Nothobranchius furzeri: one gene and its partners. The protein of the gene in region 1 interacts with the protein of each later gene in a biochemical or structural test. Links are inferred from orthologs where the notes say so. Each region holds a gene or a part of one and is shown in the gene's direction. Other genes may lie near its edges.

Region 1 (4,083 bases):
ATGCCAACGCCATGTCCACATCCGGGTTAACGCCCACTTATATGCAACTGAATGAGTGACGTTGACAATCCACCTGCTCACAGCCATTTACACTCTGGAGTTATGCACAGGATGAGGAACCTTGCAAATGTGGAAATTCTCACAAATCAAGAGCCTTAGTTTGGGAGTTTTCCCCTGTGAGTGAGCAGGAGTGTTGACTATCTACAGCTTCAATGCTTGTTCCTGGACTTTAATGTGAGTTGTTTGATGACTGGTCAAAGAGATCAGGATATATATATATATATATTAAATAAAGGAATTAAGGGTGTTTTCACTGGAGTACACAAATCAATGCATGGTATAGAGTTACCGAGTTATACAGTCTTTGAAAACAGACAGAAGTTTAGAGGACATGCATTGACCATGGAAATGTAGAGCTGCCAGGGCAATGGAGAGCTGTCTTATGCTTATTATAAAGCCATTGTGCCATTTTATTTTTTGTTAATCCTTTAAAGTGCGGAAATAATTTTTCACAAAATAAATCATTTGATATAATCAATGTTTAAACCTATGGTTGAAAAACAAGGCAAGGGTAATGTTTTTACTTGTGGGGATAAATAATTTTAGGGGTTGTGTAAAATGTCTGAACCATCTGGTTAGAACTTTTCCAGAAGGACCAGGCATGGATTTCTGTATTTGTATTGTCACATTTGTTCGCAAAGTGTCTAGATCTAATAAAACAAAACTAACCAACAAAACTCTGATAAATCAGACAACCTGTGCCAAAGTTGTTTGACAAAATGCAAATTTAGTCTTTCCAGTTTTAACTCAACAAGGAGGTGATGCAAGCTTGGGTTGTTGGAAAATAAATTATGTTTTACTATTATTAAAACACTTTGTGATTACAGATGCAGATTTAACTGATGTATATATTTTTATTTACATCCTCTCCTCCACACCCGCTTCCACCACCAGCAGCACCACCACCGTCACTTCGCAGCCTTTTCTGCTCGACACTATCTTCATCCTAACTCCGTTGGAAAGGAGGCTGAAATGACGGATGCAGCCATGGAGGCGACACCCGGGGACAGCGCATTTGCATCGGAAGAGGCGCTTTGAGTTTACGGAGCGAAGCCGATGCGTGTGTCTCCCTCGTCTTTACCTTCGCCGATCCCTTCCTCCTGCTCCTCCGCTGGCAGAAATTTATAAAGAACAAAAAATCCGACGAGGGAGGGAGGGGGTTGATGTACGCCGAGGCTGAAATCGAGAGGCGAACCCAGGGAAAGAGGAGCAATTTCTACTCGGGACTTTCCCCCTCTTAGTACCCCAAAAGGAGGGGGAAAAGTCGCAATATTAGAAACGAAAAGGAATGAGCTTCTAGGGGCGTGAAAACGTCTGCAATTGTGGAGACTTTATATATTTTTATTTCGAAAAAATATGGCCGAGAACGTTCTGGACTCTGGCCCGCCTTCAGCAAAGAGGCCTAAACTCTCCTCTCCGGCACTTTCTGCCTCCGCTAGCGATGGTAAGTTTTGGTTTATTTTATCATTTGTAACGGAAATATTCGTTAACATTATCCTTTTTTAGTGACTTGTTTGCATAACAGAGGCCAAAGACCCGGGTTTGTTCTTCTGTTTTTGTCGTGGCTTGCTAATTTTAGCGTGTGTGTGTCGGACGTGAGGAAGGGATGTTAGCTCACATGCTAACAGCCATTTTAGCCGGTGTTGTGCCGAAATGAGCTCCCCTGCCGCGAAACGCACCACCATTAAGGGAAGTTGACTTGTTTTCAATTTTAACAAGTTAAAAGTGACAAATTTATATATGGTTTTCAGTTCATTTGACGACTAGATAAAAGAAAGATGTAGCTTAATGATGCAGTTTGTGTGCTTTTAAGTTAAATTGATGTTAGGATTCGCCTCTTTCTGACCAGGAAGGAATTTCAGCCACTAAATTTACACTATCTTCGAAACTTGCAAAAATACCGATACTTATAGAAACATTTTGCTACTCTCCACGGGATGGGTTAATTGCCATACTGAAACATTGACTAACACACATCCATATATCAAAATACGACCCGTAAATAATTTAATTGAGCAACATACTAAATTGATTGTTTCTTTTGACTTTCTTCTTCAGACTTCCACTTAAGTAATTAATCAAACTACCATCAAATGCGTTTGCCTACAACGATGTGCCATTTTTAGCACAACACCTGAGATAGCTGCTAGCCACAAGGCTAACCGAGTCCACAACTGTCCGTTCCTAATGACCACTTTATTCGGACTGATTGTGAGCTCAGTGTTCATGTGCCTTATTCTGAAGTCTTTGTTGTCTTATAGTTATATCACACTGTTAGTCATTTTCTAACAAAGCCGCGAATTGTGAGATTTCTAGGCTAGCGTCGTCTTAGAGGATCTTGTTTTCCAAACTAACTCGTTGATAATGTTAGCGAAAACAGAGGGTACTAATAAACATTTAGGCTAGTCTATCTTCAGGCCCAGTGTTTTAAGTCGTTATTGAACTTATTTTTCTCGATATAGTATAGTTTAAAAAAGTAATAGTAGTTAATGGCGTAATGTATTGGCTATTACGGCCTAAGAAGAAAAACCGGAGCGTGGATAGCGTCGTGCCATAACAGACATTAGCCAGGGAGTCACGTTGACTAGATTCTCTGTCACATAAAATGTAATCATTTGTTGTCATCTTTACGATGATCGGCTTCGTCTTTGGTTGTCTAGCACTAATCTGTCATTGAATCGATGAAGAAATACTCCAGACGTCACACACGTTTTGTTACGTTGCATGATGTTTTGAGAGCGCTGCAGTGCTTTATAAGAAAAATCCTCCTCGTGTTGGGATGCCATTTATTCTTCCAAAGATTGTTGTTTTCTAAGCGTTAGGAGTGACGTTGACACAAGCTATTTAAACTTAAGTACAAATCTGAAAAGCATGCATCTAGCTGAATACAGACTCATGGTTTTTATTCTATCACTTGGTGATTCTAGCTGTGTCATAGTTAGAATAAGTGGTTAAAATGTGAGATGGGATTCAGTGAAGCATCAGCAAACAGTGAAAAGCAGCTAAATGTCCAAAACCTCTAAATAAGTCTTTCAGTCCATCTATTATGACCAAAACATTAATTTGAGTCACATGACTGTTTCTGCTGATCATTGATGTTATGGATGTTTTGATTACACTTGTGCACATTTTGTTTAACTTGATTTGATCAACTATTTTAATATTATTAATAATTTGTAGAAGTACGGGATGCTTTCACCTCTCCATTCCCCCATCAGGTTAAGCTGTGTGTAGTTGTTGTACCAGGCCACTAGCTTTGAAAGTCACTTCTAGTTTTGAGCTTGGTTGTTAAACTTGTCATCATGGGTGGGTTTTTTTCCATTACCTATTGTTGACAGTTGTGTACCCCTTCCTGGAGTATATCAGCTCAATATGGAATTGACTCTTTGGAAGTTTTGTCCTTCAGTTCAAATGATCTTCTTAAACTTTGTATTTATTCTTTTCAGATTTTGGTTCACTATTTGATTTGGAGCACGACCTCCCAGATGAGCTCATCAGCTCTAATGAACCAGGTCTGGTCAATGGTGGGGACCTCAACCAGTTGCACACCAGTTTGGGAGGAGGACCTGCAGGCTTGGGTGCAGGAGGTGGAAGTGGAGCAGTAGGAGGAATGGGGCTTGGACTTGGTCCTGGAGGGGGCCCCACAAGTATTGGTGGAGGCCAAGATGCAGTGGCTAAGCACAAACAACTGTCTGAGCTTTTACGAACGGGGCCAACCACATCTGGTCAACAGGGGCATCAAGGAGCCATGGGCAGCCCAGGAGGCCCCACAGCCATGGGGCAACATTTGGTGAACATGAAGGCCCCCTCAGGTCAAGGGCCCCAGCAGATGATGGGACAACAGCATCTTTCTCCTCAGCAGCAGGCCAACATGATGCAGCAACAACAGAGTGGAATGATGGCTAACAGGGGCATGATTGGTGTGCCGCAGAAAGGCAATAACGGACAGCAGCAGCCAGGGATGATTGGAAACCAGGTGATGAATGGTTCCCCCAGGATGGGCTTCGGTAATCAGGGGATGGC
Region 2 (4,271 bases), on another chromosome or scaffold:
ATAAGAGAGGCTTAGCTCTTTGAGTTGTAGGAAGGGATTGGTGTGAAATTGTGGGCTGAAATGTTTTACCAAAACTAAACAGACTTAACAGCCAGTACTTAATTTTAACTAAATAATGATAATAACTAGACTTTTATCATTTAAATTCATAGTCTTGCTTCTAGTTGTTAAGGATTTACTTCTCAGCTCCGTGGATCAGCTCCTCCTCACTGTTCCTGAGGCACATTTCAAGACCTGCAGTGAAAGGGCATTCTCTGTGACCACCGAAACTCTGGAAAGCTCTCTAAGTTAGGTTCCATCACTGCTTTCAAATCTCATCTTAAAATGCACTATTTCTCCTTGGCTTTTAACTTTTAAACCCGGTTCTGGTATTTTGTCTACAGGTTTTTCCTCCTTGCATCTTCGTTGCTTAATTTTACATTTTCTGGATTTTATGGTTCTAATTACCTGTTTGGTTTTTATTCCTTTGATTTTAACGGTACTGTCAATTTTATTGTGATTGATCAGTTGTAATACTGTGTTAAAAGTGTTCAACAAATAAAATGGTAATGTGTGGTTTACCTGATGATTAAAAAGCACTCTTTTATATGCATGTATAAATGAATAATGTAAAACAGTTTCTTGTCCGGGGATCGGACCGCCAAGGTTCCCGCCTTGGTCTGCCACCCGATCCACATTGCACCGGACCCTTCATGTTCCTCCTGCGGGTGGTGGGTCCACAGTTGGATGAGCCCATGTATCCGGTTCGGGCTGGGCCTGGCCGGGCCCCATGGGCGGATACAAGCGGCCGAAATTAGTTTCCTCCGTAGGGTAGCCGGGCTCAGCCTTAGAGATGGGGTGAGGAGCTCGGACATTCTGGAGGGACTCGGAGTAGAACCGCTGCTCCTCCGGATCGAAAGGAGCCAGTTGAGGTGGTTTGGGCATCTGGTCAGGATGCCTCCTGGACGCCTCCCCGGGGAGGTGTTTCGGGCATATCCTGCCGGCAGGAGGCCCCCGGGTCGACCCAGGACACGTTGGAGAGGTTACATCTCCAATCTTGTCCGAGAACGCCTTGGGGTCCTGCCGGAAGAGCTGGTGGAGAAGGCCGGGGAGAGGACGGTCTGGACGGAGCACCCTAGTTGGGATGCTGCCCCCGCGACCTGGACCCGGATAAGCAGAGGAAGACGACGGCAATGTAAAACAGTATGATAATTAATATATTTAAGGGAGGGGGGGATGGCACAAGCCTACCCCAAACAGGCAAGATGCTGACAAGATGCTGAGAAGATAATCCTAATTTTATAATGAAAATATAACTTTTTAAAGAACGTGCTCAAGCTCGGGTAATAACTGAAAAACATGGAGATCATAAATGGATAGAGTGATGAAGAGTAGCGTGATCATGATGGTTTTTTAACGTTTGTTCACCCACCAAGGAGGAAAATCTCGCGCCCCTCCCATGAGCGTTGCCTCGGTGACCGCCCGTTTACGTGATGACGTCGGATGTATATGAGCGCAGGCGGCGGGATCTCTCTCCCTTTTACCGCCATCGGAGCGGAGTCTCTTTTCTTCACTGCGTAGTGTCCCTCGTCTAGTCCAGTCTCCGGTCTCAGAGCGAAGGTAAGGGACGGCAGCTGGTAGTGGTTCGGACACCGACGCCCCGAACTCTCCCGTGAGCGACGAAGTTCGGGTTTAATGCTGTAGCGTAAACAAACCGGCTGAGAAGGGAAGACGGCGGTGCTCTGCTAATGCTAGCGAACCAGATAGCGGCAACAGCAGCAGCCATTGAGACTTGCTCCTCCATGATGTGTTAACCATTGACTGTTAGGTGTTAACGTTACACGCGCTTTAAAAATGGTAAAACAGCGGCCATCTTCGTGTGTCTTTAGTAGTTTTCTTTCCCGAATAATGAAGTCGTTAAAGTATAGCACCTCAGACGTTTCCCGCAACTGTCGATTGTTTGCGACATTTTGTTGACACGTGTTTCGTCATTTTTGCATTTATTGACTTGACCTCGTTTTTTTCTGTGAAGCTGATGCTTGGAGTGGGGAACGGACTGGTCAAGGCCGATGGACATTTGTGTTGCATAAGGGAGAAAACGTGTTACCGAAGAGGTGGCACCGATTTCTAAGTGGACGGTATTGTGTGGTCCTGTTCCTCCCACTGGCTCAGCTCGGGCAGTGCGCATCAAGCTAAGCGACCTGCTAGCTTAACTAGCAGGAAGTGTTGAAGCATTCAGCAGCGGACAGGCCGGCTAAAGTTTCCCCGGTGATGAGCCAGGGGCTCGGCCTGCGTTTGTAGCGACAAAGCGCTCCTTTGCTGTTCAAGCAGGTTGGCGTTTTAACTCGGGTTGATGTAGTTCCAGAATGTGGCTTCAAAACAAGAAGCGACATAGCGGGACTTGAAAATGTGTGATGGTTTGGTAGACTTCAGCATGCAACACGTGGTCGGTGGATGGAGACGAAAAGACCTAAACAAAAGAATGATTTGGACGGTCTGTTGGTCCGTGATGGTAAACGTGTGTGAACCGCACTGCCTGTGTTAACCTTTGGATTAAAGACGAGTCCATTGTTGTTGGGCTGTGGAATCATAAAATACACTTGATATTAAAATAAGTTTATTTTTGTATTTCAGATTTTAGAGTGGAGGCTCAGATTAGCACTTATTCTGAAAACGTTAATTTGTAATCAATAGTTATTTAAAATCTGAATATCCTTTCATTGAGTTTAAATTCTAATTTCTAATACAGTTATGTTCAAAAGGATGGCTACAAGTACAGAGTGCTTCCAAATGACTCGAGTTAGTCTATGAAACGCATTTTATAAAGTCTTTGAGTTATTTAAATGTTTTAGTTCTAATTAGATGTTTAAAGGTTTAAATGAACATAGCAGTGAGGCGCATATCATCTGGAGATTTAACAAGGTCAAGTCCAGTTCACTAGACATTTAATTGAAACTGGTTGAGTTCATTTTACTCTCCTATACTTGATGTTAGTTCAAGTCAGCTTAAAAAACCTTAACGCAAACCCTTCTGGTGGTTTTCAGTCCTGGTTGCACACACACAAGTCAAAGTGCCACTACATTAAGTCGTGGAGATGTGATTCAATATGTTGGCGTCTGTTCCAGATACAGATGTAGATTTTAGGTTGTATGGGATCCCCATGTCTGCCTTTGTCACTGATTTCTAGACATGGCTAAGGTGTTGAGGGGATTTGTTTTGGTGGCCTAAGGATAAAGTCTCGGCTTTCTGCAGAGGATGTGGGCCTGTTTGCTTCATCAGGCAATGATCTCCAGCTTTTGCTGGAATGGTCTTAAGCCCGATGTGAAGTAGCAGGGATGAAAATTGGTACCTCCAAATAAGAGAAAATGGTTGATAGAAATTTTGGCTGGACAGTAAATAGAAAATTGGATTTAGAGGCCTGCCAATGGGGTTTTTTCCCCCCAGACCAATGCCGATTTCTAAAGAATTTCGTTGCCAATGGCCGATATCTAAAGCCGATTATTAAGGCTGATATATACATTTTAGCAGCACATTGATTGTGAAAGAAAACTGAACACTCACTGTGTGCAATATAAATTACATAAGTCAATAAATCTCTTAATATTTATTGAACTTCAAGTATAAAACAAACACAAAACATAAAAAAAACCAATGTGTTGTGGTCCTTCGGATCCTTTCTTCAGTCTAGTAGTGGCGGCAGTTGGCCACACAGGTTTATTTATTTTTATCAGCTTTTTAAAATAATTTTGGCCGATATAGAAAAATTGAATATATTTGTTGGCCTTTAATGGAAATGAGCTATTAAAGATAGGAAGGTTGGTCACCCTGGAAGGGCTCAGAGTAGATCTGCTGCTCCTCCATATCAGCATTAAGTAACTTAATGGCACTAGTAACTTGCTGTGCTGCACATGTTTTGATTGGGCATTGGAATATTTTCATATGTAAAGAAGGCCTCTGGTATTCACTCATGTTTTGAGTTGTACAAAGGAAATTTACTTATGTCATACATATGAATGGTTTGATACATCTGTGTATCAGCCACAGAGACTCAAACAAGTCTCTGTGGCTAAGGTCCACATGTTTGCTTTAGTGCTGGTCAGGGTCCTGTTTTGTCGTTGTTATGAAGTTAAACTCCTGTTTCAGTCAAAGAGTAAAAAGTAAATTTAAGGTCATGTTTGGTGTGTCCTTGGTATGTTTTCCTTCTTTTGTTCCCCGGTGAAAAGAAACAAATAGTGTTGAACAGCACATTTTTCTCAGATGGACAAAGGAGAGAACGAGTCCGTTTGGGTTGA
Region 3 (4,294 bases), on another chromosome or scaffold:
GTGTGTGTTGTTCAGCCTTTATCAAAATGAATTAAATTACCAGGATGTGTATCATTCCTTCTTCCTTTTCTAGTTTTCCGGTATTCCTCTAATTTGACCCAGAAGTGAGGCTGAAAAATAAATGGCAAAACTGCAGTAAAATGTTCAGGGCCCAGAAACCCATTCATTTACACACACACACACACACACACACACACACACACACACACACACACACACACACACACACACACACACACACACACACACACAAATGCTAAAGTGAAAGGACAACTGGCTGAGTACAGATGCAATAGGCAACAAAGAAGATGGAAATGTCATCAAAAGGAGCCAAATGCACCAGGATCAGCAGCAGCAGCCCGGGCATCACTACACGGCACCAAGAGGAGGCACAAGAAGCACCCAGGCAGACCGCCTCTCCCGGGGCAGTTGGCCCTCACAGAGGAAACACTGATAAAACCTAAAGAGATTAAGATAACAAATCAAATATCAAATTTAGCATGAACACTGGATTAATTAAATTCTAATTAAAACACACTGATAAAAGATAACCAAGTAGAAAGCAACAATAAAATATGTAAACATTATGTAATATATAAGGGCACCTCGCCTTGGGAGTGTGTCCTGACTTTGGGTATAACAAGGAGACGGCTGCCAGAGGAGAGCAGGGGCCGCGAAGGCTCGTATTTCAGAAGAAGTTCTGAGAAATAAGAAGGCCCAAGACCATTAAGACATTTAAAAAACATTAAAAGAACCTTCAAATCGATCCTGAAACGTATGGGAAGCTAATGCAGACGGGTTTAACGTGCTCCTGCATCTTGGTCTTCTCCTTGGACACGTGCTGCTGAATTTTGAAGAAATTGTAAACCTGAGGTGCTCTTTTCGGGAAAACCAGAATTCAGCATAGCCACAATGCAAAAGCAATCAAAACGTTCAATATATGCTCCTCATTTTGGTTTATATAAATCATATCTCAGCTAGTTGTTTGTGTTATAAACCCCTGATAATATGTGAGCAAATTTCATGTTCTTTTGATGTTCTTTAAAATGTTTGTGATGTTCTGAATGCAAATATTTGTTAAAAAAATACAACAACAATTACATTTCATAAAATAAAATAAAAACATTAACGATTCTGTTGGGGGACACAGTTTGGAGGCTTTTACGATGAATAACTTAAATTTAAATGAGACTAGAGAGAGCATGACTAGTTATGTAAAAAAATGACATATTTTGACGTTTGGACAGTTGCATTTCAGTGTCACTAAGAAAGTGGGAATGTATGCAACAACAGTTGATTGGTAGGGGGGGAATTAAAATGAACGATATGATCCCACTTGTGTTATTTTTAACATTTGGAAAGTCTACTACCACCACAAAAATAATCCTCCTCACAACTCATAGGTTTGACACTGTTGTTACCTTAAAATGTACGAGCCTTTAAACCAGCTTTCAGTTCTGTGATCCTAAGGTTTCCGGGAGGTCCTGGAATGCAGCACGTCCCTCTCCTGGTCATTTGTGGTAATGCGGCCGCGGCTCCGCGCTGGGACTGGTCCTTTCGCAGCCATTTTCTGTCCAACCAAACAGCCGTCTCAGGGAGGGAACCAACCAGGGCTTCATTGCAGGTTTGTGTTTGGCTCCGGCCAATGATTGCTAACCGATTCCTCGTTAGCTCGAATGGAAATATCCGTCTCTGACTGATTTTTTTTTTCATTTGTTGTCTGAGTGAATGAAGGCTGCTCATCAGGAAGAATGCACTTTTAAAATTTGTGTAAACATTTCGGCCCGGCTACGTCTTGCTCTGCTTGTGCACGACAAAAGAGCAGGCCGTTGCAGGATTGTGCTGCAGTGGATTTACGATGAGAATTAATGCGAAGGGCATTATGCCTCTAAGGTTATCTCCAAAAGGTAAAGTCCCTCCAGGACAGTCTCTGCTCATCATGCTGAAATTATTGGCTTTCTACATAATTTCAAATCCACTAAGCTAGTTATTGGTTAACATTAGCTAGCGTTAGCTAAATGTCCCACATACCCCCAGCTGACGTCTGCTCTGTAGCCACACAGTGACCAAACACATCATATCACCACAGTTAAACATTTTACATGTCACTAAAATCATCTACTTGCTGTTTAACAGACGACATGACCCAATTCAGCTAGCCAGCGACCACAATGTCGAGGCTGCTTGAGGGTTTTTCTGAATATAGCGGCAATTTCCGCTAGTAGCATGAATGAAGGGGTTTATATTTACGTAAGTTTGAGGTTTAAATTTGATTAAACATTTATTTTAACAATACTGGGGAGTATGATATTTTTTAAAGCGGAACTAATAAAACCGCTTAAATTCAGCGGCGGACACATTTTCAGTTGCGCCAAATGAGCTGCAGGAAAACAGACCAGCAGGTTCAGTCTCCGTGTGTGTTTGATCAAAGTTTTACTAAAAATACAAAGAGATGGTTTTGTAATTTGTATTTTGAAAGTCCTTACTGTCAGCCTTCTCAGGACATGACGTCAGCGCTGAGCACAAAACGTGCCAATGTTTGTCAAAACCAGTCTATGATTATTAAGCAACTAACAGTCTATGTTTAAGTGGCTTTGATCTGCCAACTTACATCAATCACTTCCTGCAGCTGAAACAGGAAATATTCATGGCTGGCTTCAAGATGTTGGCATCTGGAGCCTTTTTCTAATAAGTTTCATTTTAGGCAAAACCTAAGTATGTGTGTTACAGATGGATGGAGACAGTGCAACCACCGATGCCTCTCAGTTGGGCATCACTGGAGAATACATGGCTTCCAGTCACTATGTTCTCCAGTCTCAGGATGGTTAGTAGGACAAGGACCAGTTTAAAATCACCATCATTTCTTTTCCCTGGGTTTTAAGACTAAATTTGTGTCTGTTTTGTAGATGATGGAGAGGAGAATTTAAATGATCACGAAGATGGCGGCATAAAGGAGAACTACAGGGAGCAGGACATCTACCTTCCTATCGCCAACGTAGCTCGCATCATGAAGAATGCTGTTCCGCAGACCGGGAAGGTTTGTAAGAGAGGAGAGGAGGAATCATCAGGAAAAGGCTCTTATTGACAGAATCTGATTTGTTTTTCACCAAATTCTTTTTTTAAACAAAGTACTAAAGTTTTCATGTTTTAATATAGAATCTGATTTCAATATCCTATTGCAGAAATCATAGGTCCACTGTTATTTTTATATGAATGAAACCATTTAGCCTCCATCCATCATTCTGGGACTGATGCTAAGTAATTAACTGGGGACTTAATGCTTCTTGAGGGCTTCACTTCACTTTAGGAGTTAAAGTTCATACATTTAAATTTATTTTAATCTTTTTTTTACTCCTAACAGATTGCAAAAGATGCCAAAGAGTGTGTGCAGGAGTGTGTGAGTGAGTTCATCAGTTTCATCACATCTGAAGCGAGCGAGCGCTGCCACCAGGAGAAGAGGAAGACCATCAATGGGGAGGATATCCTATTTGCCATGTCGACACTGGGCTTTGACATGTATGTGGATCCACTAAAGCTCTACCTGCAGAAGTTCAGAGAGGTGACAACACAATCTCTATACACACTGCTGTATGAAATAAAAACTATTTTGTATGTAGTTTTACTTTTGTTGCACAGAAACAAATAATTTTCTAAGAATAAGAGCAGGTCTTATAATTTAAGGCATGGTTTTGGTCCAGAAGTGTTCAGAGTACTTATGACTCTTTGACCTTTCTTCACAAAGTTTTAAATATCATATAAAATAAAATGACTGTGTCGTTTTGGTCATATCCTTAAAATAACATCAGCTTTGTTATAACAACATTTAGCTCAGTGTCTGTAGAGCTGAGTCGTTGTTTGCTAATGGTGGTCAGGTGCATCTTACATTGTCTTCTTAAGATAATCAGATTTAGGTCTGATGTTGATTATTATTATTAAAATCCATCCTACAGCTCAGCTGATGTCTTTCTGACACATAAAAGTACAGAGAAAAATGTTCATCTGATTCCACTACCAATTGTTGGATTAATAAATTGAGGTGGATTTCAGTCCACTCGTCTCTGTACCCAGTCACGTTTCCATGCTTTTGTTCTCCTCTCAGGCCATGAAGGGAGAAAAGGGCATCCCAGGGGTGTCAGTGGGGGAAAGCCTGGGTGAGGACCTCACAGAGGACAGCTTCAGTAAGTGATGCAGATGAAACTTCTGGCAAACATTTTTAAATTCCTCATCGTGTTTGTCCTTGAATTGCTCCAACATTTCTTCCTTTTCTCCAGCAAACCCACTTCCTGCTGGGATC

The links.
Region 2: the proteins of ep300a (region 1) and nap1l1 form a complex in vitro, tested with the Homo sapiens proteins (3 studies listed by BioGRID and IntAct). The link is inferred for Nothobranchius furzeri from reciprocal best matches to the Homo sapiens genes EP300 and NAP1L1.
Region 3: the proteins of ep300a (region 1) and nfyba form a complex in vitro, tested with the Homo sapiens proteins (2 studies listed by BioGRID, with this or other methods). The link is inferred for Nothobranchius furzeri from reciprocal best matches to the Homo sapiens genes EP300 and NFYB.

The regions. Positions count from the first base shown.
Region 1 is NC_091756.1:27,988,463-27,992,545, reverse strand, and holds the start of ep300a (histone acetyltransferase p300), read left to right. Parts: upstream 1-1,278; 5' UTR 1,279-1,416; coding exon 1,417-1,504; intron 1,505-3,506; coding exon 3,507-4,083. UniProt on the Homo sapiens protein: Functions as a histone acetyltransferase and regulates transcription via chromatin remodeling. Acetylates all four core histones in nucleosomes. Histone acetylation gives an epigenetic tag for transcriptional activation.
Region 2 is NC_091741.1:58,518,003-58,522,273, forward strand, and holds the start of nap1l1 (nucleosome assembly protein 1-like 1), read left to right. Parts: upstream 1-1,463; 5' UTR 1,464-1,599; intron 1,600-4,271. UniProt on the Homo sapiens protein: Histone chaperone that plays a role in the nuclear import of H2A-H2B and nucleosome assembly.
Region 3 is NC_091741.1:63,172,648-63,176,941, forward strand, and holds the start of nfyba (nuclear transcription factor Y, beta a), read left to right. Parts: upstream 1-1,486; 5' UTR 1,487-1,489; coding exon 1,490-1,624; intron 1,625-1,633; exon of another isoform or gene 1,634-1,907; intron 1,908-2,730; coding exon 2,731-2,824; intron 2,825-2,906; coding exon 2,907-3,037; intron 3,038-3,361; coding exon 3,362-3,559; intron 3,560-4,099; coding exon 4,100-4,178; intron 4,179-4,271; coding exon 4,272-4,294. UniProt on the Homo sapiens protein: Component of the sequence-specific heterotrimeric transcription factor (NF-Y) which specifically recognizes a 5'-CCAAT-3' box motif found in the promoters of its target genes.